Stegostoma tigrinum: one gene and its partner. The protein of the gene in region 2 binds, or shares a complex with, the protein of the main gene of each other region. Links are inferred from orthologs where the notes say so. Each region holds a gene or a part of one and is shown on either strand. Other genes may lie near its edges. The genes, in order: troponin C, skeletal muscle-like; troponin I, fast skeletal muscle-like.

What was found.
Region 1: the proteins of troponin I, fast skeletal muscle-like (region 2) and troponin C, skeletal muscle-like are in contact, whole or in part, in a crystal structure (PDB 1A2X), measured with the Oryctolagus cuniculus proteins. The link is inferred for Stegostoma tigrinum from reciprocal best matches to the Homo sapiens genes TNNI2 and TNNC2. Residues at the interface, in NP_001076252.1 of Oryctolagus cuniculus: Glu5, Asn8, Arg9, Ile11, Thr12, Arg14, Arg15, Gln16, His17, Leu18, Lys19, Ser20, Val21, Met22, Leu23, Ile25, Ala26, Glu29, Leu30, Glu33; in NP_001076114.1 of Oryctolagus cuniculus: Ser13, Glu15, Met16, Ala18, Glu19, Ala22, Lys91, Leu96, Glu98, Cys99, Arg101, Ile102, Phe103, Arg105, Ile119, Phe120, Ala122, Ser123, Glu125, His126, Val127, Glu131, Ser134, Leu135, Asp138, Phe152, Met155, Met156, Val159, Gln160.

Annotation. Positions count from the first base shown.
Region 1 is NC_081372.1:51,798,944-51,815,093, reverse strand, and holds the start of troponin C, skeletal muscle-like, read right to left. Parts: upstream 6,284-16,150; 5' UTR 6,178-6,283; coding exon 6,175-6,177; intron 3,902-6,174; exon of another isoform or gene 3,824-3,901; intron 1-3,823. UniProt on the Homo sapiens protein: Troponin is the central regulatory protein of striated muscle contraction. Tn consists of three components: Tn-I which is the inhibitor of actomyosin ATPase, Tn-T which contains the binding site for tropomyosin and Tn-C.
Region 2 is NC_081370.1:22,088,972-22,104,380, forward strand, and holds troponin I, fast skeletal muscle-like, read right to left. Parts: upstream 7,984-15,409; 5' UTR 7,878-7,983; coding exon 7,848-7,877; intron 7,751-7,847; coding exon 7,619-7,750; intron 6,355-7,618; coding exon 6,265-6,354; intron 2,459-6,264; coding exon 2,276-2,458; intron 1,218-2,275; coding exon 1,128-1,217; 3' UTR 1,061-1,127; downstream 1-1,060. UniProt on the Homo sapiens protein: Troponin I is the inhibitory subunit of troponin, the thin filament regulatory complex which confers calcium-sensitivity to striated muscle actomyosin ATPase activity.

The DNA of each region.
Region 1 (16,150 bases), on a different chromosome or scaffold from region 2:
TCAAGGTTGGCCCTTAAGACCTCTTAAAATGTAACTCTTAAAGTTAGGTTTCCTGTCTAGGCAGTGGTCATACCTAAAATCAGAACATTAAAAATAGGGAAAAAAGTGGATGAAAGAAAAGGAAATCTTTTATTTCAGAACTGGGAGATCCTTTCTATGTGTTAATTATCTTGATATTATATTGAGAAGTACTTCAAGCAAGAAACAGGTTTAAGAATTGGGATGAAATGATGCTAATGCTCTTCACAGCTGTCAACTCCAAAATGAAAACAGAAACTGACTTTTGTATCTAAATCTAGTATGGATATGCAGCTCATCACCAAGCCATTCAGAAAGAACAGAGAATCATAAAGTCAGTGTCATACAGCATGGACAGTCCAAGCAGTCCATGTTGAACATAATCCCAAACTAAACTAGTCCCACCTGCCTGCTCCTGGTCTATATCCTCCAAAACTTATCCAAATGTCATTTAAATATTGTAATTGTGTCAACATCCACCACTTCCTCTGGAAATTCACACCACATGCTAACCACCCTCTGAGTAAAAAAAATGCCCATCATATCTTTTTAAAATCTCTCTGCACTCACCTTAAAAATATGCTCCCTAGTCTCAAAATACCCCATCCTGGGGAAAAGGCACTGACTATTAACCCTCCCTATACCCCTCATGATTTTATAAACTTCTGTAAGGCCACCTATCAACATCCTACGCTCCAGACAAAGGTCCCAATCTATCCAGCCTTTATTTAGTACTCAAACTTTCCATACCCGGCAACATCCTGGTAAACCTCTTCAGCACTCACTCCACGTTAATAATATCTTTCCCAACAGGCACAGAAGCAAAAGGTTGATATTCTGTTTATAAATGTGATTATATCAGTGAAATTCCTATCAGCTTGACACACAGGTTTACAAAAGTGAAAATAAGTCTAGGGTCAAAGCAAGCTACAGCCATAGCTGTTGGGCACATTGATGAAGGCCAGCAAAAGCCTTGTTGTCATGATATTTGAATCAGATGCATTGCTCTTGGCCAGATCTTGCAATGCTCCTCAACTGCTTTATAATTCCCAGCTATATTACTTTAAGAAATAATTCTGTCTTGTCTCCTAAAAATTCTAAACTCACTCACATGATTTATGATTGCACCGTGGTGCCAATGATCCCAACTTGTACAAAATCTAGAGCCTAGAACCAGCTTTCCAATTGATAAGACAGTGTTATTAAGGCTTAGTAGCAATAATAACCCTGATCCATTGAACTAGTAGCCTACTCTCATTTGCTTATGTACTGTATAACCAGAGTCAAAGAGACTATCTTTCTATAAATAGTTATTCCAACAGAGCAATCTTAAAAGGTTACTACTAAATTTAGCACAGGTCATTAAGTTGCATCTTGTAACCTTTTAAAGGTCTCAAACTTCTCTTTCTCTCCTTTAGGCAATCTTCTGACACAGCCAGCTGCTATGTATTACATTATGCTGGCTTAATTCCAGCATAATCCAAACTGTTCCCATCCTTGTTGAATTTCAGGTCAAAAAGCCGAATGAAAAGATAAATAAAGATAATACAGGAGTTTAACTGACAGCTTTATGTTACATCACCTCCAGTAATTAGATTTAAATAGTCATTTTAGGTAATATGTGTATTTCCAGACACATTAGATTTCATTGCCCAGCCCTAGTTGCATATGAAAAGATAATGTTCTTTGGCTGAGTGCATTTCCATAGTGTTGTTATGTAGGTGATTTCTGCTCATTTACCTGCCAATAATGAAGGACCAATGTTATATGTCTAAATTAGAATGGCATGATTTGGATGTGATACTGCGTCCATGTAATTGTTGTTGCTACCCTTCTGGCTAGTACAAGTTGCAGGTTTAGGAGACAATATGAGTGTCTACAGTGTACGCAATAGAGAGAGTATTATAGTAACATTCATCCAAGCAAGCGAAAAATATACCATCACACTCTTCTTTCCTATGTAGTGGAAAGGCTTTGCGGAGTTAGGACTTGAGTCACTTGCTGCAGCAAGAGCCATGGCATCTATGAAACTGAACTGTGTCTGTTGTCACTAGTAACTCTACTGTGTTCACCCATGCAAAAGAATGACCGCATTCATTCTTTCGTCAATTTAGTTAGTGGTAAGGATTTGATCCCTTACTACCTACTTTTAACATTGCTGCTTGTGGGCAATAGGTTGTCGAAATATAAACCCAGACAATCTTGTAGTACCTTTTTGAGGTGCACTATGCCGTGACAATTTTGTCTAACCGCTCAAAAATGAATGGACTGATTCTCCAATTTATGCACAATGTAAAGTGCACAAGAAAGGGGAAATTCCAATCATGTTTAACATCAAGAACAGCAAGTGGTCATTGTTAAGGAAGGGTAAAAAAGGCAGTGAATGTGTTGAATAATTGAATTATAAAAAACAGTGGGGCACCTTACAGGCCTTCATTCAGTTAGGTCTGCATCTCAACTTCTCAGATACTGAAGCAGTCTGTGTCCATATGCAGCAACATCTGGACAACAGTCCAACTTCAGCTGATGAAGTGGCAGATAACATTTACACCACAAATGTGCCAGCAATTACAATCTCCAATAAGACGGAATCTAATCATAACTTCTGGATTTTTAATGGAATAACCATCACTGAATTCACCAGTATCAACATCCAAAGAGTTACCAGTGACCAGAAGCTGAGCTAGATTAGCCAAGTATGCTCTGGGTCAAGTCAAGTTAGCTTGGAACTCTGCAGTGATTAATTCACATTCCATCTTCCCAAAACTCCCTTTATTATTTATAGGTCAGGAGTATGATGGAATACTCTACTTTGGCCTGGATGAGTGCAGCTCCACCAAGAAGCTTGACACCATCTAAGGCAAAGAAACCAGAGAGTCACCACATCTACCACTGTCACCATCAATACACACTGGCAGCAAAGGGTACCATCTTCAAAATGCACTTCATGATCTCACCAGCAGCACTTTCCAAATTCATGACCTCTACCACATAGAAGAACGAGGGCAGCAAATACATGGCAGCACCACATGCAAAGTCCCCTTCAAACAGTACCCGACTTGCAACAGTTCCATGTGAATGGGTCAAAATCCACGATTTTCTTTCAGCACTGGGGGGGGGGGGGGGGGCGTGCCTACGATCTCACGCTTGAAACCTCACCTTAAAGCGCGTTAACAGTTCATTTGGGAAAACAACGAATTCGAAGAAATGAATTACTGCCAGAAGAGAAATGGGGTGAATAAATGATATCAGAACATTTGAGCATTTTCGTTTCATCCTCTCATGTTTACCTCGTCTCGGGTCTCCAATTCTAAACAAACAAAGCAAAATGATTATATCACATATCCGCTTCTTTCAACTCGGATTTCAAGACGGTGGCCGAATTGAAATGGGTTGGAAAAGTTCTGTCTTGAAGCAAAGTCATAGTTGGAGTAACGGGCAGGTGGGGGCTTCTCGAGTCGGCACTGAAACCCAATGTATCTCAAGCAGTGGAGTAGCTCAGCTTCATCTTCGCTCAATTCACACCAGTTATAACGCACATTCACAGAAACGATCTGCACTACGACTGAAGTAGAACTTTGCAAGGCTTGCCACTTCTTGGCACTGATTTCAAATAGACAGAACATGTTAGAGATGTGCAATGACTTAGCTAGCTGCAGGAGAATGATGTGCTCCGCAGTGAAGTACAATGCAAATAGCCTCAAAAGGCAGAAAGAACGGTGCGCATTTGAGTTCCTGTGCCACTTTATTCCCACCCTAACTCGACTGATTTCGACGTACACGGATTGAAACGAACGGTTCTTACCTCGGCTTTTTTTTTGGACAACCTATACTCCTGACTTCAGCGGTGGCGACAGTATGGATGCCACTTGGTCTGTAAATTTACCTCGGGAATCCAGCCGACGTCGGCTTTCTCCAACAGCAAATCAGATTGCGGTAAGATAGGAAGGGGGGGTGGGGTTGTTGAGGGGAGGGAGAAGAATTTTGCTGAGAGCGCAAAAGAAAATGTTCAGGAAGTAAAAGGTGAAACGGAAAACATCGGGATCATCCAATGGGGGCGGCGGGGGCTGCGGGATGGTGGCTGGTGTGATTTTAACTTATTCTTCGGAAACTGACCAGATCCGGTGGAACGCCGATTTTACGCACCACCAGTTCCGTTCTATTGGTATAAATGGAGAGGAATATTGGGCGAGACTTACAACTCGAGTCTCGCCTGATTGTGCGGGTTCCTCGCCCATTGGCGAGTTGTCAAAATTACTGTTGAGTATCGCGTTGAACAGTTGAATCAAGTTTCGCTCGTCTGCAGGTTTATATCGAAAAAATCTTTGTGACTGTGAGATGCAGAACATTTGAAATTGGTTAACGTTTTGCAAACCACATGTAGCTCATTTGGAATGCTTAACTGCCATGTAAAATTTTAAAGCCAGAACTCCCAGAATATTGGACGAGAGAATTTTTTTTAAAAAAGGTCTCGTTTAAAATTCTATGTTTAAACGAACGCACGGCGTTTGTTTAACGTGCCCCGTTTTTATGATTGAGGTGAACGGATCAAAAACTAAATGTCTCCAATTAGATACAGACCAGATTTGAGGAATCAGTGGGTGGCAGTAGGTACCACGGAGAGAAGGTAAGTGATTGGCATAGACGAGAGATCTTATGATGGAACAGAAGATGAGATATTTTTAACTGCTTGAAGGGGTTCTTCCCAAAATGGGGAAATCAGTCTTGTCTGAAGACTCCTCCTGTCAGAGGTTTAAATTAGCCAGGAGAGAGTGTGGAGTTTGAAGACATCAGCAAGTTGAGATGGCTTGGCTGTACTCTTCGGTTCACTCGATACACTGTCACAGTGAGTGGTTCAAATATCTGACTGAACTCATTAAACAGAAACAACCAAACACCACGATGCAAATAATCATTTCACTGCGCATTCTACTTTCCCCTCTAATACAAATAAAGGCGATTGTCAACAGTTTTTAGTCGGAGTAGTGCACGCGCCTTGTCATCTAAAGTCGGCGACAGTTTGTTCGGAATTATTCCCGGGAGTTTGAGAGCTCCGGGTGACTCTGCACACGCTCCGTTGAAACACATACGTGTGTAACCTGGGAACGTGTGTCCGCGTTTCTCCTCGTGCTTTGCTGCAAGCATTTCCAAATCCGCCAGCCCATTAAAGGTCGAGAAGGCGGAAAACTCGGAGCTCCCTGATGAGCGACGGCCTTAATCCAGAAACTTTAGCCACAGGAATGTGCCTCGTAAGTGAAGAAGACCCCCTTTCACTCTATTTATAACGCGAATCTTCCGCTTTTTATCCGTTTCGTTCCCTCTTGCAGGTACTAGAGGTCGGCGAGAGCTCTTGAGGAACCGTGCTCACAATTCACGGAGAAATTCACAGAGAGAAACAAACAAAAACGGGAAGCGATCTCTTACTTTGTAACATCATTTTGCTTGTTTATTTTTGTTTGTGGCAGTTAAGGCGTCGACAGTAGCAACGTTGATTCGCGAGTTGTACTAATCTGAAGGTTTATTTTGTTTACTCTGGTGGCACCTGGCGTTTTCACGCTATAGCTGTCAAATGATGTTAGCAAAAGCATATCCTTAAAATAAATTTCCCTTTTTTATACCAGATAGCTACATCTCTGAATTTTTAATGTATTTTTTAAAGAAAAAGGTGGAAGGCACATTGTGCATTTTCTTCCCTTTGCAAACATTTTATATCATGACTATGTCCAATTGCAAGGTATTGTTTTTCCACCTCTAAAACAAAACCCCATAGCAATATCCAGGCTACTTTGTTGAATTCTCGCCGTGAGTCCCTGCTGTTTCCGCATTTGCTGGTTTTCCGGAACTCGCTAGCAGGTAATATGGTTTTGTTGTTGAAGACGCGCGACACCAAGTACCGTGTACCGTTACTTTTTGTTTTGCTTCGTTTGGCTATAATGTACTTTCCACCTTTTATTTTAAAGTAGCTGTTGAACTTTAAAAAAAGAAATTGGACATCTCGAATTGTGCACGGAGACACTGTTCGCCGATTTAAATATATATATATATCTTACTCTATCTTATTATATGCGCTACAGGAGCGAAGCGGGATGATATCAGCATGACGCTGGAATTAATGAAACAACACATTGGAAACATGAATTTAATGTGTATGCTTACCATTGTCCTGGCTTATTAGGGCGCCACAGAAACTCAGGTTAAATTGAAACGCCTCTCCTCCACAACTCCTACTAGAAAGCTAATCTTTTTTCTCCTCAGCTTTTAACTTGCCCTCTTTCTTTAATTGGCCGAATATCCAGTGAGATTTCAGCATCTCTGACCTGGCTTGTAGAAAAACCAATAGTGAGATTGCGAGGTGGGCACGTGTCCTCTTTTTACAACCGGGCGAGGGTGGGCTCTGTCCGAAACAAGCTATATAAAGGGACTGATCGAGGCCCCTCAGGTATGCGATAGATCCAGTTTGTTCGTTAACTGCCCGTCATTATTTAACTACAAAACATTTGATGATAATAGCTATTCTCGGGGCCACGTGGAGCACTGTACTCATCCTGAAATGACTCAGTATCTTGGTCATGTACAAAGATCGACCCCACTTCGGGCCCCGAGATCAACAGTGTCCCGGATCAATCGCTGGTGTTTGAACCAGATATCTCAATGATAGGCTTTTCTTCCCGTAACTAAATCCTGGAAGTAGCAGTGTTTGAATGGGCAAATCGACACTTCGATCTTTTTATTCCAATAACAATTTTGAAAGCTGGAGAGAGTCCTTTTCTAGGGGCCATTCCAGGTTAAACCTTTACTTTTCTGTTGGATCGTTCATACCCATGCAGCGGCCGTCTATGGCTGCGTTTAACAGTTGAAAGAATTTTAATAGGAATCCCTGCGATTACGTAAAGTCAAAATGCTGTGGCTGCTGGAAGCCAGGAACTGCTAGGAATTCTGAGCGGCTCTGGCCAAATGTTTGGACAATTGGAATGAGTTTCAGGTCCTGCTGTCACGAAATCGGCCTGTTTAACAAATCAAATCAGTCATCAGATTCAAAACGAGCCAAACAGTATCCAAATGCAAACGAAGCCCAATTCTTCCTCAGCATGGAATTCAGGGTGAGTAAGCGAGATTGGAACAAGTCCAATCCTATGAAAATGCCACGTCGGAGCTGGAAAGGCACCTTAATGGCGACGTTTAAATAATCATTTGCTATATTGCTGTATTTGCCTTCAACCAATAAACGTAGCATTTGCATCCATACAGCACATTGCTTGACTTCGCAAAATATATTGATGCACTGTACTTTGGAAGCACAGTTAGTGTTGTAATTTGGGAAAGTGGCTATCAGCTTGTAGAAATCCCACAAACAAGAAGATAGTGATATTGATAGTGGAATAAGGCTACTGGAACAAATCACAAACAAAAACAGAAATTTCTGGAAAAGCTTAGCAGATCTGGCAGTATTTGTGAAGAGAAATCAATTTTAGGCCATTCCTCAGAAAGGTCATCAGACCCGAAACGTTAACTCTGATTTCTCTTCACAGATGCTGCCAGACCTGCTGAGTTTATGCAGCAATTTCACTTTTCATTTCTGATTTATGGGATCCACAGGGTTTTTTTTGGTTTTTATTTACTGGAGCTAATTCCCCTGCTCTTCACAACAACAGTCAGAAGTCACACTACACCAGGTTGAAATCACAAGCTTTCAGAGCCTAGCCCCTTCATCAGGTGATGTGAGAGAGTAGCACACAGTCACAGAATTTATAGGCAGAGAGATCGAGGGTGGAGAGATCAAATAATCATATAAATGGCATGAGTGGAGGCTCGAGTAATAAGTCTCTGCAGATGATCAAAAGTGTCAGACAGTCTGAGTAATGTGTCAGCAGCTGAATAATAAGTGAAGGGATGACTTATAATCCAATTAAATGAGGCAGAGATATAATTACAAAAAAAAATTAATATCAGGTGGTGCTGGAGACAAACCAAATGACTGGAAAAACATGATAGGTATAAGAGTTGCATGCCGCGGGTGTAACCAAATTAATAAGTAATCCAAAACTGTACAGAATAATTAAGGTAGAGAGAACATAACAACTTATTAAGGTGATGGTGTCAAAACAGCAATAGGGTCACCAGGCCCAAATGTTAGCTCTGATTTCTCTTCACAGATGCTGCCAGACCTGCTGAGCTTTTCCAGAAACTTCTGTTTTTGTTTCCAGTAGGGTGTTATACATTCACTAGAGGTGGCAGCCAGATTCTCAGTGTAGAATCTCATCTGAAAGAAAGCAACCCCGTCACCACCTCCCAAACATTGCTCTGGGGTATCAAATTGATTTTGTGTTTTATATTAAGGATCTGAAATGAGATCTGAACCTTGAACCTTTGATGCAAAGGTGAATGTGCGACAAACTGAAGCTGAGCTAACACCAAAGCAATGAGGTTTTCCACAGAATAGTACTGAAAATTCAAACTGTCAGACATGTTGGGTGAAATGTAATTTTTTGTTTGTGTGGAGGAGTCGGGGAGGGCAGTTGGGGAAATGGCAGTTGTGGTGGTTAAGTATAGCATGCCCATCATATGATTGGTAAAAATGTTGCTCGTATTTATTTTACACATTATCATTTTATGTTTCAGAACCAAGCCAAAGTCTGTCTTTATATTGAACACATTTTTCTTACAAGATATCGACTCAATTCTTTAAATTTCAATACTGTTTATTTCATTTCAATCAGTAGTTCATGTCCCTTCACATACATGCCCACACTTTTATTAACTGTTTAAAAGATCAGAAGAAATCTTAGATAATTGTATCATTTTTGCATTTTGTGCATTGACATTTTCAAATCCAAATGAAGAAATCACCAACAGTCTCTCAGATAGAAATGATCCCATTACGGGTGTATTTGTATATATTTGGTGTATCCTATCTTTTCTTCTATGATGGGCAAACTTATATTTATCCATTGCATATCTGTATATTGCTGGGAATGTCTTATAAGGGTATATCTGTTTGATATATGATACTTATGCCTAAACTTGTCTTTGAGGAGTTTATTTGCACATTTTTATTAGGAATATACCTGCCCTTGAGCTTTTGTTCATTCATGGAATGAGGGCGTCACTGGCTAGGCAGCATTTATTGCCAATTCCTAATTGCCCAGAGGGCTGGTAAGAGTCACCTACATTGCTGTGGGTCTGGAGTCATGTGCAGGCAAGTCCAGGTAAGGATTGCAGTTTCCTTCCCTAAAAGACGTTGGTGAACCAAGGGGTTTTCTTTCAATGGATTCACAGTCATCATTAGTTTCTTAATTCCAGATATTTATTGAATTCAATTTCCACCATCTGCTGTGGCGAGATTCAAATCCAAGTCCCCAGAACATTATCTAAATCTCTGAATTAACAATCTAGCGATAATACCACTAGGCCATTGCCTCCCCTATGTGTGGCAAATATAACTAACTATATCTGGCTGTGAAGATTTTTTCTGCATTAGATAGTGACAGGTATATTTGTAATTGTAAGTAATAAGGATTTCAGTGCATACCTGTAATGGACAGTTTTAATAATTTTATGTGGAAGAATATATCTTTTTTTCTGTTATCTGTAAACTGTGTTTGTCTGATTTTGGGTATACGTTACCTCTCTAAGATTAGCATAATTTTACTTCTCTATGGCTAGTGTACCTGTGTATGTCTATGTTGTTTTTTGTTTCATGTCTTTACAGGTGTACCTGTATTTGGCTGTGATAGATATACCTACATTTGCTAACTGCAAGTCTACCTGTATATTTCTGTGATGTATATATAAGTATTTGTCTTTGACACAGGTACATGTTTGTGATGGGTATGTCTGTTTTATTTGTGACAGGGTAAACCTGTATTTATGCATGACATGTGTACCCCTAATGTTCATTATAGTCTGATCTATATTTGTCTGTAATGGGTTCCTGTATTTCTTGTAATAAATTATGTTCCCAGATCTGCCAGTTATGGGATCTATAGATGTGATGTGATGGGTATATTTGTATTAATATTGAGGTGGTACCTATGTTTTTCAGTGGTGTGCACATGTATTCGATTATGACATGCATACTACTTTCTGTCTTTGGCTATACTGCTAATTGCCTATGACCTGTTTGCTTGTATTTGATATTGCAGGTTATTTTGTATTTTTGTGTGAATTTTTACTTGTTATTATTCCTTAATTATATGCTTGTATTTGTCTATGACATGTATGCCAGTACAGGTGTATTTGCATTTTCCAACATGTTTGTATATATATATTTGCTGCTACGTTTGTATGGCTTTTTTTTGGCTGCATACCTGAATTTTCCTACTAATGGTGTGATTGTATATGCATCAAAACAATTATAATTGTACTTGTGGTCTGATTTTTAAAATAACATTACATTACAGCCAACGCAGAACAAGAGTAATCAGGTTGTTCCCACTCTTGAGTCTCAATCTTTACATTAGACAGATGTCAACTCAAACATTTCTGCATAACAAACAAAATAATCTTTCTGCAGAATATTGCCATAACTTTACCACTTAGCACACAAAACGATAATAAGTGAACAAACAATATCTTGACTTTCATCCTAAGACAGGAAATTTAGTCTTTAGTTTAATCAAATTAGATTACAATTTATGTATTTATTGATCCAGTACTTTCATGTGTGAACAAGATATCAGGAACTAAAGTCAATTTTCAAGCCTGGTTTCTTGTTACAAGCAGCTGCCATGCATTTTAGAGATACTTTTCAAAGGAGATAAGTCCGGAATGTTTGAGAGGACAGGCGGTGAGTGAAAGGGAATTCACTGCTGACAGTGTGATGGTTGATGACAGCTGGGCCATGAACAGTGAAGGAGATCAATGCCTGCTTTTCTCAGCCACATTCACAAAGTTCAGTTCATGTATCTTTTTTTTTCAAAGGTACCTATGTTGCATTCAAAAAATTTACAACAAAAAGATAAGAACAAGTTATGTTATATAAAACACATCATTAAACATCTTATTTTATTTTATTTATTCATGGGATGTGAGCATTTATAGCAAGTTCAGCATTTTTACCCATCCTGAATTGTGGTTGAGAAGACAAAGGTGAGCAGTTCCTTTTTGAATATCAAAGTACCTGTGGTTTAGCTAAATCCATGTACCCTTAGGAAGATAGTCCCAGGCCCTTGAGTGAAGATTAGTAAAATAACAGTGAGATATTTACACATCAATATCGTGCATGGCTGAGAATACAACCTGCATGTTGTGGTATTCTCATATGCTTCTTGTTCTTGTAGTAGTAGAAGTGATGGGTTTGGAAAATGTTGTTGAGCGAGCTGTGATAGTTTTTTTTTCTAAACTGATTCATGGGATATAGGTGTTGCTAGCTAGGCCAGCACGAGAGAACATCCCTGATTGCCCCATCAGAAGGTGACAGTGAGTTGCCTCCTTGAACTGTTGCAATCCATGTAGTGCAGGTACAACTAATAGATCTTTTTGGGGAGGAGTTCAAGATTTTGAGCCAGCAATAGTGAAGAAACAGTTATATGTTTCCAAGTCAAGATGATGCAGATAGTGGCACTCCCCTCACCCCTGTATCTGCTGCCCTTGGACTTCTAGATGATAGAGGACAGAACTGTGGAAGATGCTGCCCAGGGAGCTTTGATGAGTTGTTGAAGTGCATCTTGTAGATGGTACACACTGCTGCCACTATACATTAGTAGTGAAAGGAATGAATGTTGAAGTTGTTGGACACAGTGATAATCAAGTGGACTACAATGTCCTCGATTGTTGAGGTTCTTGAGTGTTGTTGGAGCTTCGTTCATCAATGATTGACCTCCAACAAGCACAACCATCTTCCTTTTGTGCCAAGTATGGCTCCAAATAGTAGTTGCTGGCCCCTGCCATGCTCCCTAATTCCCATTGACTTCAGATTTGCTAGGGCTTCATGATGCAACACTTGCTTAAATGCTGCCTTCATGTCAAAGTAATCACTGTCAGTTCTCTCCTTAATTTTAACTTTTGTTCATATTTGGACCAAGGCTGTATTGATGTTAGGATCTGAGAAGATCTAATAAAATCCAAAGTTATTATTGAGAAAGTGCTATTATACAACACTGTTGATGACAGCTTCCATCAACTTTCTCATGATTAAGAGTAGACTGATAGGTTATGTTTGGCTGTATTGGAACTATCCAGCTTTTTATGTAGCAGACATACTTAGGCTATTTTTCACACTGTGGAGTAGATGTTAGTGTTGTAGCTGGACTGGAATAACTTCACTGAATGAGTGGCTAATTTTGAAGAACACTTCAGTTCTATTGCTAGAATGTTGTCAGTGCCTTCAACTATTTTTTGATATCACATGAAGGTGACCACAGGAAGATGCTGAGATGGATTGTGAACTCGGTTTTCTAGTTCAAGATAAATATAAATGCTTCAGCCTTGTCATTTGTACTGATGTGCTGGGCTCCCAAACATTGGGGATGAGGATATTTAGGGAAGACCATCCTCCCCTTCCTCCAGTGATGTTGCTACAGTGTGTCAGGTAGATGATATAGACCGCTGCTAATGTGTCAGTGACAAAAGCAGTGAGTGGATGTGTTGATATATTGAATTATCCTGTTCAAGCAAGTTATGACACACCTCTGCTGCAGATAGGACTTGAACCCATACTTCCTGACCCAGAGGTAGGAACACTGCCACAGCACTAGAAGAGGCTTAGAGTGAATGTATACAATGGTGAATGGAGTGTTCATCATGTGGACTGCTTTTAATTGTCTGCCTTCTTGAGTGTTTTTTTTTAAATCAAGACGTATGAAGAATACACCATTACCATCCGAGACTGTGCCTTCTAAGTCATGGAATAGCTCTGGAAAATCAGAAAATGAGAGAAGGTGGGTTTCCTGCCACAGAATTTTCAGCCTCTGCTCTACTTTTGTAGACAAATAATGTATGTAAAGGCTAGAGACTTGTTTAGTGAATGGCGACCTCAGAATATTAATAGTTGGGGACTCAGTAACAGTAATACCATTACACATCAAGGGTTGACTCATTACCTGACAACTGTGTGGTGCAATTGTAATGTGCCACAACAATAATTGTTGCATGTGATCATCAATTGCTTCAGTATTTGAAGAGTTGTACATGGAAATTATAACTGTACAATCATCATCCCATCTCTAACCTTATGATTGAGGAAAGGTCATTGATGAAGCAGCTGAATATAATGTGACCTGGGATATTGCTCTCCTTCATCAGGATAACGTCCTTCTATTAAGATACCCCCAAAACTACAACCATCTTCCTTTGAGCTGGGCATAGCTACAACCAACAGAGAGTTGAATTCAGTTCCCTTGATGCCACACCCAGTTGAATACTGCTTGGGCGAACAAAGGATATACGCTCAAGATTCTGGAATTAAGCTTTTTTTGTGTGTGTCTTGGGAGTTAGAAGCCACATTTTAATGTAATGATGACAGAAAATGCTGGAGAAACTCAGTACATCTGTCACCGTCTATGGAGAGAGAAGAACAGAATTGACTTTTTGAGTCTAATAATTCTCCTTTGGCACCGAGAAACTCTAATGGGTCTGTTTTTATTTCAGATTTCCAACATTGGAAGTATTTTGTTTTCATTCACACACTTTAATGTGAATGATCTTGTATAGCAAATTTAATTGACGATGTGACTCCGTTTTCCACCACTAACTCTGATCTGGTGTCTTTGTTGCTGATAGTTCTTCTTTGCGGTGAGTGCCTTGTAAGAGGTAACTTTGGGCAAAACAGAACGACTTATTCCTCATATTTTTATCTGATGGTCCAGACCCGAAACGTCAGCTTTCCTGCTCCTCTGATGCTGCTTGGCCTGCTGTGTTCCTCCAGCTCTATGCCTTGTTATCTCTTATTCCTCATATAAGCCTTTCACTAGTGGCCTCACAACTAATCGTAGTTGTACTAATTTATGCTTTCTGGCTTTCTTAAATGTTGCCAGGACTTTGAATATTTGTAGATTTAGTCAAATGGCTTTGCCTAATAACAAAAAAGTTTCAAACTTCTCCAAACCGGCTCAGAACATGAAATGTTCACTGGCTTGGGATAATAAAATGTGAGGCTGGATGAACACAGCAGGCCAAGCAGCATCTCAGGAGCACAAAAGCTGACGTTTCGGGCCTAGACCCTTCAACAGAGAGGGGGATGGGGAGAGGGAACTGGAATAAATAGGGAGAGAGGGGGAGGTGGACCGAAGATGGAGAGTCTTCAGGACATGGTCTAGCAGTTTCAAGGCCGAAGAGATTACAAGAGAGTTGCAATGGGAGAGAGATTCCCTGAGGTTGGTCCGGACGGAGGAGGGTAACTTCTTCAGTTTAGGCATCCCTGGAAGAGGCTTCGCAGTGAGGTTAAAATAGTATCAGAGATAATGGGAACTGCAGATGCTGGAGAATCTGAGATAATAAAGTGTGAGGCTGGATGAACACAGCAGACCAAGCAGCATCTCAGGAGCACAAAAGCTGACGTTTCGGGCCTGGACCCTTCATCAGATAGGGGGATGGGGAGAGGGTTCTGGAATAAATAGGGAGAGAGGGGGAGGCGGACCGAAGATGGAGAGTCTTCAGGACATCTGGCTTGCTTCGCTGATTACTGAGGTTTCTAGAGACAACTCGGCAGCCGAGAGCCCGCCGTGTTCAGGGAAGGGATAAGTCTTGTGTAAATTACCTGGTACCATCACTTTCTCAATATTTCTTCAAATGTGCTGGGAAACATCGTTCGACATCACTTTTTCTTTCCTCTACAATACTTCCTAGAGTTCTTACGGTTTGCCTGTTTGGTCTGACCGGTTCGTTTACAGGTGGGAAAAACAAGGTCTTTTCAGGATGAAGCAAAACCTTTCTGTTCAAAAACAAAGCTGCTGGAAAAGCTCAGCAGGTCTGGCAGCGTCTGTGGAGGAGAAAACAGAGTTAACGTATCGGGTCCGGTGACCCTTCCTCAGACCGTTCTGTTGTTGGGAGCCAAAGCTGTTAGTTTCTCTAATATTGGAGTCGTTGTCAGCGTCTTCAGCAGATCCGTACGAAAAGACGGAGAAAGGATACAGAAAAGTTCACATCTTCAGTATTAAACTAGCCACGTGAGTATCCGCGACACAGCCAAATTAAAACATGCAGTCCATTGAGCTGTCTAGAAAGCGAAATGTATACGGAATCATCATTAATATATCCGAAATATGAACATAAAAGTACAAATCTACAGCAAAAAACGTATACAGGAATGCAGTGTAAACTGTGAATGGTATCTCCTTGGCTTTGAGATAAATCTTCGTGTAAATATATTCACAACATCCCTCGTGTTACCGGATTGCCTCCGGTGATTTAGTTCTGTATTCATGATCACTAGCAATGGTTAACTTGAAAGGAAATATATTTCAATTCCTCCAGATGGTTGAGAGAAAAAGAGACAGTTTGGCTTGAAATGAGGGGTGGGGAATATTTCTGGTATTTGGGGGCCAGTGGTACGTGGAAGAAACCAATTAACCCAACAGAAAAACCGCCAATTGAGATTTTATTTGGCGAGAAAACTGAAACATGCATCTCACGCTGTTTTAATGCGATGGTGGGGAGTGAGTAGTGAGGGAGCACCACGCTCTCTGAGGTCCTGTGCTTTGGATAAAACCCTAAGGAAACGCCAGTTTGGATGGTTGTATAAGGCCCCATGGCGCAATCTCACAAATAAATTGTGTCATGTTCAATATTCATCCCTTCAGCAACATCACAAAAAAAATCATTTGGTCATTATCACATTGTTAACCGCCGTCCATTTTTTTTAAAGTTGGTGAAATGTGAATGTTAGTCCGTGATGGGTCATTACCAAGGCAGAAGCAGAAGGAGTGGTTGTGAGACCATTCGCAGGTTTTGAGGCAGAGAGGGCACGTGGAATTCACCAAGACTTTTGACGGTCTCACGGGGCAGACTGGTTAGGGAGCTAAGACCTCATATGATCCAGGGCAATCTGGCAAATTGAATCCAAGATTAATTTAGTGGCAAGAAGCTGAGTGTAATGGTCAAAAGGTGTTTTTTTTGTGATCAGAAGCATGAGTCCAAGGGTAGACTGTGGGGTTAAGTCCTGAGCGCCTTGCTGTTCCTTGTATAAATTAATGAT
Region 2 (15,409 bases):
TTGACCAAGAAAAGCTTCAGAATACTCATGTTTTTAAAAAAAACCCTGATTGGAAGAGTTTATTTACACTATAACTTTAGATGAGCAGTACATAGATCATAAAATAAATGTTTTTACAGTATAAAGTTATTATTTACCTTTTTGTCATCTCTAAGTTATGGATACTTAGCTTTACATACAGGGCTTTCGAGAAGATGTATGATGGGTCATAGTTTTCTGTCAAATATTAATGGAGTTAATGGTCACTCACTGTTGTTTATTGGTGAATGATTCACCAATTCTTGATGAGGGAAAGCATGAAATTCACAAAGCTTTTCTCTATCTTGAACTGCTCCACTGTTAACTTCACAAAGAGGATATCATGTCTCACTCAGCAAAGAACTGATTATGGTGAAGTTGCTGTAGTTACACAGTAGAAGGAAACTAAACTCACCCTAGATGGTTACATCCTGTTCATTTGAATTTAAGCTCCATTTTAATGACACGATAATTATTAATTATTAATTATGTCAAACTCTGATCTGGAAAATTAATTATTGAATTATGAAGTTTCATTCTTTACTGTTGAAGATTAAAATTAAAAAAAGTTGTCACTTTCCTTGTCCATTTCATTTTTTCTCTCTAAATCCATTCTTTTTCTCTCTTTAATTCTCTTTCTGTATTCAATTTGGCATTGAATACGCACACTAACTTGCACCTCCTTCTCAATCCTTCCATTATTAATTTCATTCTCTTCACATCTGACTGACAAATGTAGTATGCTAGAGCTTGTTCTATTCAGCAAGAGTCCAGATGCCCTGTTTCCTTCACAGCAATGTTATCAGCTTGCATTTTCAGCAACTTGGACTTCAAAATATCAGCATGATTAAATGGGCAAAGGCAAGCCCAACAAATAGCAAATGCTGTTTAATGCCCAGCTACAAAAAATATCAAGTAGTAAAATATTGGATTGAATTCAAGCTAATTCCCAGCTCCTTTATTCTAACTACTGTGTCATCCTCTTGTTCCAAATAGGACTAACTAAATCATATATATATTTCCAATAGTGATAAGGACAATGTTGACCTACATATATTTTATTACAAATACTAAATGCAATACAGTATTTGGTTACATGGTGACAAGTTTTATTCAGCACCCTCAAACATCTTCTTTCTGCCTTCCATTCCGGCCTTCTCTTCAATGTTTTTACGCCAGTCTCCAACATCGCGCAGATCCTGCAGTGGGAATAATTGGTGAAGTTTAAGGATGAAGTTGGAGCAAAATCACAGCTCAAGTTATGGATTAACCTCTCCTCCATGGATTTGTTCCTTCTGACTTTCAAACCTTCTAATCTTTGTGGGACAAAACTATCTCACAAAAAGTATTTACTCACTAAGCTATCGTGAACCTATCAGAAATTATGGATAAAATATGTGAAATGAAACACTAAATTTGTCTGGAATCAGTTCATTCAACACAGGCAAAGGCTGCAGTTAAATATCCCTGCAGATAAATATGGGGGTGCAATGGTATTTGGATAGGAGAATGCAGAGTGGGTACATGGAAAATAAACCTCTGCTGATTTTCTCCTCTTCATCTAGTGATGATAAGCTAAACTCTCAGACCCCTATTAATGCTATCAGCTGAGATTAGAAACATCAGAACTGATGAAGAACTGAAGAACCCATTGAGTTTCTGTTCTAAATTCTGTTCAGAATAGTGGAGAGATGTTTGAACGGTTTTGGAAGCTGTTTATTGATATTGGGCCATTCTCCACAATACTAAACATGGACTCATCGGACTTCATATTTTGACATAATAAAAAGTTATTATGCAATAAAAAAGTTTTGTTTTGCTGCTTTCATGAGAGGAATATGTTAATTTATTGAATTAACAAAGACATGGGATTTCATTGTTATAAAGATGCAGCATTTTGCAAGTGCAAAAGTTAACTTCAGAAGGTGGAGAGGGAGGAAGAGGTGATGTTGATCTATAACTATATATGGATTTCCTTGTGATTGACTCATTAAGATTAAAAAAAAACATTCATGGATTGGCAATGCAGGCAAGGCCAGAATTTGTTGCCTCTTCAAAATGCCCTGGAGAAAGTGGAAACGATCTGACTTCTAAAATAAATTGCAATCTGTGGGATGTTGGTACATCCAAAGTTCTGTTAGAGACAGAATTCAAGCAATTTGATCCAATACTTGTCTTTAAGTGGCTAGTACGCAGGTATAAACTATCAAAGGGAGAAGTGAAATTTCAGCCATCATTTTCAGGAATGTTGTCTTACCTTCTCCTTCTCAGTGTCCTCTTTCTTCACTTGTTTCAGATTAGCTCTCAAGTCCATGGACACCTTGTGTTTGGAGCCCAGCAGAGCGCGTAGCATGGCATCAGCAGACATACGGACTCTCTTGAGTGGTGGCCTCTTGAATTTGCCTTTCAGGTCAAAAACTTTCAAGTTCAGGTCGTCAATCTGCAATATTGATGAGTTCCGAATAAATATTTACATAGTCCTCAAGCTCACCACTTCTCCATCTCTTGCCATACCTTTTTCTCCTTTAAGACAGTTCTTAGAACTGACTCAGAGATAGTGTGAACTGCTGATGCTGGAGAATCTGAGATAACAAGGTGGAGAGCTGGATGAACACAGCAGGCCAAGCAGCATCAGAGGAGCGGGAAGGCTGACCTTTCGGGCCGAGACCCTTCTTCGGAAGTCTGAAGAAGAAGGGTCAAAACCCGAAAAGTCAGCCTTCCCGCTCCTCTGATGCTGCTTGGCCTGCTGTGTTCATCCAGCTCTCACCTTGTTATCTTAAAACTGACTAGTTCTTTAACTAAGCTTTTAGTCACCTGTATCTCTCATGTGGCTTGCTTACCTCCTTTATTTTACAATGCTCCTGTGAAATGCTTTGAGACTTTTGTTATATTAAAGTCACTATGTAAAGACATAAGCTGTTGTTGTAAATGGATCAAACATATTATGGGATGCAAATAAGAGATGCTCCACAACCTTAGGATTTCCTTCATTCTCATTGTGTTGAACTTGGATTTGGAATGTCTTATTCATGCTTGAGGAGTTTCCACATCCCAATCCCAGTTTATTTCCTCTCATTATTTATGCAGGGTGAAGTCCTGATACAATTTGCAAAGTTTTCAAGAGTTAATCATAGTCAGAGCATTTAAAGGGAGAAGAAAATTCCTGATAATTTTCTAGAAAATGCTATAAAAGGAACATTCAGGGAGGGCAAGCCTGCTTAAAAAAAAACAACAAAGTTTAACACCTCTTATTGATTATTTCTTGATTTAGTTGTTGGTGCCATTCTGGAAACTTGCCTTTAAAATTTTTACATTAATCCACCATCAACATGCTTCCCAGTAGATGTCATAGAATTATAGAATTCCCACAATGTGGAAACAGACCATTGGGCCAAACAAGTCCACACCACCCCTCTGAAAAGCATCCTACCCAGACCCATTCCCATAGCCGTTCTCTGTGACCTGGCATTTCCTATGCTAATCCACCTAATTTACACACCCCTAGATGCTACCCTGCACATCGTTGGACCGTGGGAGGAAACCGGAGCACCCAGAAGAAACCTATGCTAAGTGTAACATCTTCCCATATCCAAGTATAACATTTTCCTTCAATAGACCCTTACAAACTTTGGTACTCAAAGATGATAATATTAATCAAGAATACAATAAAACAAGCTTAGTTTTCTGTTACTTCATACCAAAGAATTCTCCTATACAATATGGAAATTGTTGCTCTATTCTGCTTAGAGAAAATGCAATGTTGATCCTGTTCTAAAGAATGCAACTTAGTTTTTCATTGATCACACTCAGTATTCTATTTATTCACCACAGAACTTCATTGATTTTTATCAAGTGGATGCTTGAGTAAAGATAATAAACAAAAATCGATTATGTATTGTAAGAAAACAACTGACTTTGTCACAATCATTTGAAACTTTCTCATGGGCATTGTGAATATTTTGCTGCACTACTATAATGCATTCATCATCCCTGTATCCTTGTGGAAGTGATTATGTTAAAAAATGAGAGAAAAGTGGAAATACCAGAACTACGTCTGTCTCTGTGCTGTGGTCATTTTACTTCAGTGAGCAAGTTTGATACCATTTTTCCTCAATTCATAGTTGCAAACAAGTATTCTGCTTTGCATAGTGTAGAAATTGGAACATGTTGTGCTTATTGCATGTACCATAAATGTAAAACATGCTAATTTAGCAGTGCAAGCAATTGCAACCAATCATTGTATCCTTTTTATAAGCAGAAAGCTACCTAAAATGGGAGCTTGATGCTGTGAATATGAAAGTGAATAGTGTAACACATACTGAAAGGCCCAGATACAAAATTTGTTGACTGCTTGAGGAGCGTTTGTTGGGTGTGTCCTGTCTAGGATTTTCCAGTGGCCAAGGTCATTGCCAACTGAAGTAAATTTTAACCTCCTATTCTAATACAGATTGTACCTACCTAATCTCACACTCTCTGGTGCAGCAAGTTCTGGGATCCAGCACCTGCAGTAATTCCAGTTTTCTAAACAAAACACATTTTGCAGTGCAGCAAGGAAGATTTCCCTGCATTTAACTGTTGAAAGGTAGTTTAAAGAGCAATATGCAGGAGTTCTCAGCTTTGATCACCTCTCCCTCATCTTCACAGATTTATACCTTGCACAAGTCAGTACTTTCAGCACTGTAGAAGAGGGTCAGGAGTAGAGAAAGAATTTGTTTAATAACACCCGTGCTAACCCTGACATATCACCTTCTGTAGTCTGACAAAATACACTGTCTAATAACGATTTGCTCCCAATACTACTGGATTAGGGAGGTATGAACTGTAGTCTGTTACATGAAACAAAGAGAAGCAGAGTGCCACTCCACCACTTTTGCACATCCCTTCCACAACTCCACCACTCCACAATCCTTGTATTGGGCCTGCATCCTCATTATTGCCTGTTATAATCAGGTACACCATTTTTCTAGTGGAGTACGCTTCCTCTGGAGGCAAGTATGGAATTAATGCCCAAACGGCACGGTGATAAAGGTTGATTCCCTAGGCCTGAACATTTACTTTGTTTGATTGTCTCTGGGCACAGGATTGCCCAGGTTGCATCTTACACTGGGATTGGGGAGCAGCAAAAGAGTGAAGCTGCAGGGCCCAAAGACTAGCAGTAACTACATGAACATTTACGACCAATAATTGTAAAAAAAGGAGGCTGGAATAAGCCATGTAGTCCATGAAGCCTCCTTCATCATTCAGTAAGATCTTGGCTGATCTGACTGTGGTCTTAACTCCACTTGCCTGCCTGTGACTCATAAACCTCACTCACTTGCTGATCAAAGATTTGTCAAGCTTGGTCATGTACATATTAAGTGGGAAACAGAATTCCAAAAATTAATGACTCTTTAACAGAAGAAACACCTCCTCATGTCAGTTTGAAATGAGATACTGCTTACTCTTAAACTGTGCCCTTTAGTTCTAAATTCTTGAGAATTTTCATTTCTGTTGGAAGTTATTGAATGCTCAGACTACCTGGTTCTTTTTTCAGTGTTCTACACATACAGAGAACCTCTAAATTGCTTAGATATTTGCTGCAAACCTATCTACACAGCTCTTGGAGGATCTCTTGGGTGTCCCTTAGGTGAAATTGGAAATGCTGCCAACTGCTTCTCTTACAATTTTGTATTAGGCCAACATCTATTACACAAATATTGTGTTTTACAGAAGTTTAAGGAATCAACAAATTTTTACTCAGATTAATTTGATGGGGTTATACCCATGACTAAGTTAATCAGCCATTGCTTTGTGGATGAACAAACTGCTGAATGAGCATTTCTCATTTCACACTTTCTCATGTTATGTTCTATTAACAAGATTTAAGCAAAATTGTTTAATGTGAATAATGCAGATTAGGGCTATGAATCACTTGGCACTTCTGCGGAGAAGAAGATGGGATGCGGTGTAAAATGAGCTGCTAATTTATTATTAGTTCATTTCACAACTTCAAAGCCCTCACCAGTGATTACTTCATGATTGTCATCCATAAGTTGATTTCTTTTTGTCTCCTCAATTCTGCCCTTGTTCCCAATATAAATGCTTTACGTTACCGCTCATTCATATGTTGCAGCAACGTGGGTACAGGTTTAAGTGTCAAAGGACATTATATTGCTTAGTGCTTTGTATCAATCTAAAATGTTTCTCCAAAAAAGAACAAACGATGGTGAGGGTGCTTGTGAGGGGTATTTAAAAAGGTGACATTACCTCTTTGGTGGTCTTAGCAACTTTGGATTCCATGTCATATCTCTCCTCATCAACAACATCTATCTTTGCATGAAGTTTCCTGCACAAGTCCTGTTGAGACAGACGTGAGAAAGTTCAACATTGCAATAACACTGGCTCTTTTGTTTCATTGTGCTATTGCAGTGTGGTTTTAAGCTCACTCATTTCATAACTGGGATCGACAAAAGGCCTTTTGGGAATTACATTGGGTGGACCAATAAGTTCAGATCGGAAGAAATAATTGATTGCCAAGTGGTATTAAAGAGCTGGAAGAGTCAATGAGATGTCAGCACGAAGGAGATGAACCATTGGGCCTCAATTTCCTTGGGAGTACTGCTGCGTCATTGTCGTTTTATCAAAAGCGGTCCAGAAACTCTGTTTGCACTAAATTCCCAGCTAAGGTACAGAAGGGGAAGGTTTTTTTGAAAAGGCTTATTCAAAATATATGCTTTAACTGAAATAGGTTCTCAAGGCAGTTCCCACAAAGGGAAATGAAAATGTCTGCTTCTACCAATAAAGCAGCCTTTTCCTCTGGGTCCTCCTGCAGAACAGAATAAAATCCCTACAATATCGATTGGAGTCATTTGGCCCCTTGAGTCTCCATGAGAATCGCACCCTATCCCTGTAATCCCTCATTTTTGCCGTGGATAACACATTTAGTCTGCACATGCCTGGACACTACAGAGCAATTTAGCATGGCCAATTCACCTAAACTGCACATTTTTGGACTGTGGGAGGAAATCCATGCAGACACAGGAGAACATACAAACGCTACCCAGTCACCCATGATTGGAATCAAACCCATGTTCCTGGCACTGTGAGGCAATTGTGCTAACCACTGAGCCACCGTGCCGCACTGATAGTGATAGTGAGTAGACAGTGAGACCTTGGAAGCGGACCTACTTTTCCAACTATGGTGTGGGCTGTTCAATGAGAGATGCGTTATAAGAGAGAAAATATGGAAAAAAAAGAAAATTTCTTGTGGTTGAGATTTGTGAATTACTGTATTAAATTTTACAAATTAGATCATTTGGTTGTTAAAGACAACATGGATTTGAGTGCATGTGAACACAAAAATCACCATCATAAAATATATTTGTTTAGCAAGTCATGGGTTTGGGACTGTATTCAAGTGATATAATTGATAATTAAAACAGTATTTCCCATTTTCTTGGTGAAAGTACAGATAATTGCCCAGACTGTTAATGGAAAACATTCCGCTATGTTGACTTGGCCAAAGAATTTTGTCCATGTTCCCTAATTGCAGATAATTCAACTCTACAATCTAACAAGGAGAAACATAGATGGATTTTTCAGAAAATGATTTTGTATTAACCTGCAGCTCTGCCATTGAAAGCCCAGAAGTCTGCAGATGTCCACAATGTTCTTCCATATACCTCTCCTTCTCTGCTACCCGATCTGCTTCTTCCTTCTCAAGTGCAGCTTTGGCAAGGGACAGCAGTAAACTCTAAAATACATAAGAAATGCAAGTTATATGAGAAACTATTTAGACATTTCACATTATACTCAGGATAAAGAAAATGCATAATAGGCTGAAAAGTTACCTTCAGATGCATTCTGCGAGAAGAGGTCATCTTGGATTTTTTCTGTCATGATCAAGGAACAGAAAAAAGGGAGAAGGATCGGAAAGTAAGTTAAAAACAGATTATTTCAAATGGTTGGCAGAACAAAGGGACATGCTATTAGTGTGAAGTCTCTTACAGTCAAACAAATCATCTCAGAATTGCATTCCAACAAACCATTTTCCAACAAAACTACACTATTTTAAAAGCCAGGCTTCATGTGACTCAACCACTGGACTTATTCCATCTTTCTCCCCAAAAAGAAACTGAATAGTGATGCCTTGAAGACAGCAGGGATGGCCTAGGTCCAATGTGTCAGTTTCCTGGTATTATCCCATTCTGGGTCATTTTCCCAGAGATATGTTTGGGGACATAGCCTAGGCTGGGCTACACACTGACAGGCATCCCATAGGCAATTCTCCCCCTCAGCATTAGAGCGAGGTGGAAGGGCCAGGACTATGCATACAAGCCACTGGCCTCACTGTGGAGGCAATGTTCCTTCAGAATGGTGACCCATTCTGAAAGTATATAAATATTTTAATTGTTAAAATAATGAAAAGAGGCACCTCCTGTCATACTTATCTAACAAGACAATCTACTGCTTGATCAGTGCAAAAGACCCTCCCCAAGCGCTCAAGCTTCATTAGACTGCACCATTCTTAGGTACATAGCAAACCTCCTCATTGGTCAGTTTGAGCAAGACTACAACTTGCCATATACAGCGCAGGCTTCTGATAGGACAGTCTTGAATCCTACAGATAAATCTGCTCTTTAACAAAGATCTATACTATTAAGGTAATAAAATGTGAGGCTGGATGAACACAGCAGGCCAAGCAGCATCTCAGGAGCACAAAAGCTGACGTTTCAGGCCTAGACCCTTCATCAGATGATGAAGGGTCTAGGCCCGAAACGTCAGCTTTTGTGCTCCTGAGATGCTGCTTGGCCTGCTGTGTTCATCCAGCCTCACATTTTATTATCTTGGAATCTCCAGCATCTGCAGTTCCCATTATCTCTTATACTATTAAGGTTACCATTTAACGAATAATACTTTACTGTTTAAAAATATTGCTCTGCCGTATATTCTCATGATTATCCGTGAAGTTTTAGTTGTTCAAACCCAACCAATTTGTCTTTCACCACCATTGAAGAGGCTGTTACACTTTCAGTCAGTTCAATTTAGATGTTAATGTAATTAACTTGAGTTCAAATGTTTCCATGGCAATTTAAATTCAGTTTGAAAATAGTCAAAAAAAAATAAAAATAATGACAGTCTTGCATATCCAAGCCTATGGGATGTGGCTTACTGGTCAGCTCTGTGTTAAGCATCACCCAGTGTGATTCACGAGTACCATTGGCTGCCTATGCTACATTTAACACGAGTGAATGCAGTAGGTTCAGTCAGTTGAGATCTTTTTCTTGCCTCTTTCAATGTCCTTCTGGCTAGTAAGCCTCAAGGTTCACAGCGACCATTGTCTCTGTCATTGTCCATGTTCACTATTATCATATCTTTCCTGCAGGGTTTGTTGCAGTGGAGGTATGGACTTCCAGCAGGTATTGACACAGTGACCAGTTTACCATCCAGTATGGCTTTGGACATACATCTACTATCCAACTAATGAAACTGGCCCAGCCGGCACAGATATTGTTGATCCAGTGATGAGCAAATGCTTTGGAATAAACATATACCAGGACTGCTGGGTTGGTGCCCCCCCTGCGAAAATATGCCACGGTTATGCCTGAGAAAGCAAATGTGGGTGCTGCTCAGTGTTTTCATGTGCATGGCATGAGTTGTTCAGGTTTCACGTCGAAGCGGGGTAAGGTGAGAAGACTGGCTCAGTAAACCTGCAGTTTACTGTGCTCAGTCAGCTTGCTGCTGTTCCATACTCTGACTCCACTTCAATAGAACAGTTACAGCTTTCATGAGGAGTGTGTTGACTTCAGCATCGAGTGACAGATTGTTGGGGATTGTGGAGGCTGGATATGTGAAACTGTCAACAACCTCCGGGGTCACATTGTGAATACAGCTGATGAATGATGTTATGGTAAAATTCCGGACTATGACATGTATCTTGCTGATGTTAATGGTCAAGCGAAATTCTTTAGCGGTTTTAAGTGCTCTGTCCATTTGCCACTGAAGCTGTTTCTTGATATGAAATTGTCGATCAGCATAGGATAAATCTCTGCTTTGGGCATGACAGCCCCTTTCCTCGGATTTCAGATGGGCAAAGCCGAACAGTTTTACATCTGTTTTGCGATGTAAGTGCAAGCTGTTAGTAAATGATCACAACGCATATGACTGCAGTAGTATGAGGACACAACACTGTTTGACCCACTGCAAATCTCAAAGGTTTCCAGTGTGACCCTTCAGAGTTAAGTGAACCTTACTCCTCATATTCTCATCGAAAAGAAGATATTATAGTCAGCAAACTTAAGTGGCAGCCAATTTTCTCCAGCAGCCGAACTATGTAATCAGTACTCCCTTGGGTGAAAGTCTTGGCAAGGTTAATGAAGGAAATGTATAATGCTTTCCTTTGTTCATGGCATTGTTCTCACAGCCACTGGATGGAGAAGATCATATTGATTATAGATTTTACAGAACTGAAATGACACAGGAATTTGGGATAGATGCATTCAACCAGGATCTGTAGTCTGGCAAGGGCAACATGGGCAAATACTTTTCCCAGACTGCTTAGCAGGGAGCTGCTTCGATGGTTATAATCACTGCATTCACCCATGTTCTTGTGCAGGATCACAAACTTAGCTTCATGTACACATGGAATAACTACATCCTCCCTCAAGCAAGGACACATTCATGCTTGATGAGTTCAAGCAGTATTGTGCCATTACATGCAGTTTTTCGATGACAAATGAGTCAAAATCTTCGCTAAGTACATTCACTGTGGGTTTAGCATACAGCTGTTGCATGATGGACAGACTGTCTATGGCTTACAAGATCTCCCTGATGATGGTGATTTACCTGGAGTACAACTAAAGGCAGTGTTTCACCCATCTCTCCATTGATTTGTTGTAATCAGTGCTGTCCTTCTCTATCTTTGGTTTTCATTAAACCATTTTCTTGGCTCATGGGCCTATTGTATTTTTGATTCCTTCCTACATACCCCGGCACTCCCTGTATTGGAACAGGATCCAGTTTGGAACATTGTCAAAGTGGTAAGCAGTAGTGATCGACAGTAGTAATCTAGAAGTCTATTGGACTTCACTTCAATCAGCCTGGAGTAGCCAGTCTTCTTGTCTGAATTTCATTTGTAATTTCTGAGAATAGATCACCTGACTTCAAAGATTCCGTATGTAAATCAACATTTTAAGATAGCTTTACTGTCAAATTGTTTCTCCTGCAGAGGTGAGGAATGTCATTCTGAAGCTGGGATTAAAGCGTTAATTATAAATTGGCTTCCACTTTTCGACTAAACCTCACTATTAAGTGTTGTCTTCAGGTAAAGAGCGTTGAAAAATTGAGACAAAAATAATTTGTCAGACAAAATAGGGTTGAATCAGTTTACATAATGATAGAATTTATATGTATTGTCTTGGGAGCCTGAGTAGACTATAAGTTCAGGCCATTCATATCACTTCTATCAAAATTCAAGTATGAAGAGGTTAAATGAGCACCAAAAAGAGGATCAAATTTTAAGACAATTCTGCACTGAATGATTACTGAGCTGTGCTGTACCTACTGAAACATAAAGAAAGCAGTTAAATAATATTTTAACTAATAATGAACTGCTGAGATGTGATACAGCTTGTGTCATCACCAAACAATGGATGATTCTATCTTAACATCGCCTGATGATAAAATACCTAAGAATAAAAACAAAATTGCTGGAAAAGCACACAGGCCTGGCAGCATCTGTGAAGGAAAATACAGAGTTAAAGTTTCGGGCCCGATGACCCTTCCTCAGAACTGATAGGATAGCTAAGACTGATCACTGATCTTAACAATTGGCAATTTACTGAATCATAGTCACTTTGCAATCAGCAATCTGAATTTAAATGTAATGTGACCAATGTGATGATAGCAGCATGTTGAGTGTCCGGAAGATACCCTTTTTGCAACCAGCAAACAAAGGGGAAACTGCTTGAGAAATGGTACAATATTTTTGAGACCAAAGGAAAAATAAATGTGTATCAACTGAATACAAAAGCTTTATTTAATACTTCCAAGTGTCGTGGAAGTTGTGCATCTAACCTGAGGTAAACTCCAGAGAACTGGCGACAGCAATAAAACAGGGCCTCTGTTATCTTGCAATTCTCACTTTGTTTAAAATAAGGCAGATTAAGAATCTTCATTCTAGTTACAGATTTTTTTCTCTGATGGCTGGGAAGAATTTGCATAGCCTCATGACTTGAAAGCAATGATTGTTGGTTATATGGTTGAGGCCCAGTCTGTTCTTCCAGGAATTATTCAGAGAATAGATACGCACACATTATATAACAAGTGATTTATAAGGATTACCACATGTGCCCTTCTATTGCACTTAGTGCCTGCTTCTGTTAAACAGCCTATGTAACTTGGCCTACCACCTTTAGAGATTTAAAGATATGATTCCCTGCCATGGGTTCCTGCACGCTGCTTTAAAATTTGGCATTTAATTGTAACACTGAAGCACTGAGCTCAAGTAAGATAATTATTGCCCTCATATCGCAGTCTCTTGACAAGAAACAGAAAATGTAATTGCAGATTAACAGACTCTCCGTCATCATGTTGTGGATTCTAATTTCATAGCCTACCAAATTTTATTCTTTTTGCCTGTCAAGTAACTGAGGTTTCCCATTGCACAGTGCCTGAGTATCAGTCACCATCTTCAACAGAAAGGAAGAAATAAATGCAGCAAGAACCAGTCCTTCATTTCAAATGTTCATGAAAGCCAGCCTGATGAAAGATCATCAAACTGAAATGGCTCTCCTTCCACCGATGCTGCCAGAGCTGCTAAGTATCCCTAGTATTTTCAATTCTTACTTCAGATTTCTAGCATTCGTTATATTTCACTTATGCACTCTATGTCCCTCGTAATTCATCAGCTTCATTTGCACTATCATCACCATCTTCAGCAGCAAAGTCACTTGACTTAATCTGTACATTGTATAGCTCTACACGCAGCCCAGCTTTGGAAGGATGATCTTTATAATTGGTCTCATGGGTCAAGTGCAGAAAGCACAACCATTTCCCATGCTCACTATTGTGGTAATTTACTACGACAAAAGAAAAGTGCTTTGCTTGTTCACACAGATAGTATTAGATTTCCCAGATATTTTAATGACAGCATTACTCTATTAGAGCAGAGAGCACTATTTTGAAATGATTTGGACAGCACAATGAATGGAAGCTTTGAGTTATGAAAAAGATTACATTCATTCCAGAAGTATCAAACAGCCACAAACACTTTGCAATGGGATTAGCACCCAACATCTTACCTCGTCACTGTAAAGGAAAAGAACAACTCATTAGAATCTGCACAAAGTTCAAATTCTCCACATTTCATTGATTATCACCTCAAAGATATCAGGTGCCAGAAATGTATAACTTTAGCTAGAGATTAAATATAGTTTTACAGCTCTTACATTACAGAAACAGATTATTTGATCTGACTGGTTGTTACGCTGTACCCGAGTCTCTTGCCAACCTGCTTTGTATAACAATACCACCCTATCCTTCTATTGATTTCCCTCCTCACATAATTACCTAACTTCCCCTTACTCAAATCAATGCACTTGCTCATAATTTTCCACATTTGTACCATCTTTGGACAAAGAACTTGCTCCTGAATTTCCTACTGAAACTAATTGCAACTATTTTACGTTTATGACTTCCATTTTTGCTTTCTGCACAAACAGAAACATTTTACCTCCCTTTTTATTATCTTAAGTGCCTTCTCTCAGATTTCTATTTTCTAGAAAAAAGAAGCCCCAGCTTGTTGAACCTTTTTTGCTGTTTATATCTTCTCAGTTCTGGTACCATTCCCAAGGATTTTTTTTGCACCTTTTCCAATATATCTAAATAATGCAGATACTAGAATTTTGCTCAGTTCTCTACATTAATCTAATTATATTTCAAAACAAGGATAACAAACCTACTTTTGTCAGTTCTATTCCTCTGGAAAAGAATGCAAATGCATGGTTTCCTTTTCTGTAGCCTTAATAAAATGTTACTTCATTTATAAATTTGTGTATTTGTACTTCCAAAATCCTTCTGATCCACTATCCTGTTCAGATTTTCATTAAATCCCAATTTAAACAACAAAGGCCCTGGATTTTGAATGAGTTAAAATCTGGCCTAATGCAAGCAGCATGTGGTCTGTTTATTCCTCCTGTTAATCTGAACTGAACATGTGTCAATTTTGAAATTAATTTCTCAGTTTTATTTCTGTTATACCAGAAATAGTACAAACTAAAAACAATTTTTTAAACAACAGGTAATACTCACTCTCCCATTTTGATGGTTGTGTTTTATGACCTGTTAATAAAAAAATAAAATTACCAACTTAGTCATTTAACTTCATGTAGCTATTTTACTGATAATGATTGATCCATATATCCTCAATGATAATATTCCTATACAAAGATGCTATTGTTGGTGTTGCAGAGATACTCAATTAATCAATGTGGAGATGGAAAAGAAGATCTCAACGTTGAAGTATTGGCTGACTTGTAACACTTCTCAAAATCTGACCCAAGAGGGAAAGATGAGCTGTGTAGAAACTATATCCTGAAGAATGGGAGGCATTTGAAAATTAATTTGAGAAAGTGTTTCTAAATTTGGTCAGTGTACCAAGGGGAACAGGTGCACGTCAATGAGATCCTTAGGGCCAGTCATTTCTCAATCTCACACAGCCTAAAGCCAGTTGAAAGTGAAAAATACTAGTGTGCAGGAAAAATGCTGAAGAAACCAAGCTTTCACTTTGCAAAAGCTGGAGAACGTCTCCAAACTTTTACTCCCCTGCTTCTACTGATGAAAACAATTAACCAGTAAAGAAAAATGCAAACCTTAACTTTGAAATTGTGAAATTATGATGTTCTTATGTAAAATTATTAAAGTGTTGTCATTCTTTAACATCCTTTGTTGTATGTAATAATTATTAAAAACAACAACATGCTTAATTGGACATATTCTTGTGAGAGAGATTATTTTGAATAGTTTCAAAAAAAAGTTTACATATCAAATAACATTTAATTTGTAAAGAAAAATATTAAATCACAACCACAGACTCAATTTTGTTTTATTTTCTGCACAAATGGTCACAATTACATTTTAAATACTTTTGAAAAACCTTTAAATCAAAATACAAGGGCTTTCAATCATAAAATGTGGGCAACAGGTTGAAAATATTAATATATGGCTAAACAGGCAATTATTAAGGGGATATAGGAAGTAATAGCAAATCAAAATTAAAGCTCACCTGGGACACAGAAGCCGAACAGAGGGCAGTGAGACTAGAGAGCTGAGGTGAAGTCTGGTAAGCCACAGACAGTTTTCAAAAGCAAGCAGTATAAATTGCTTTCTGTGATGGGTCAGCAAAACACGACTT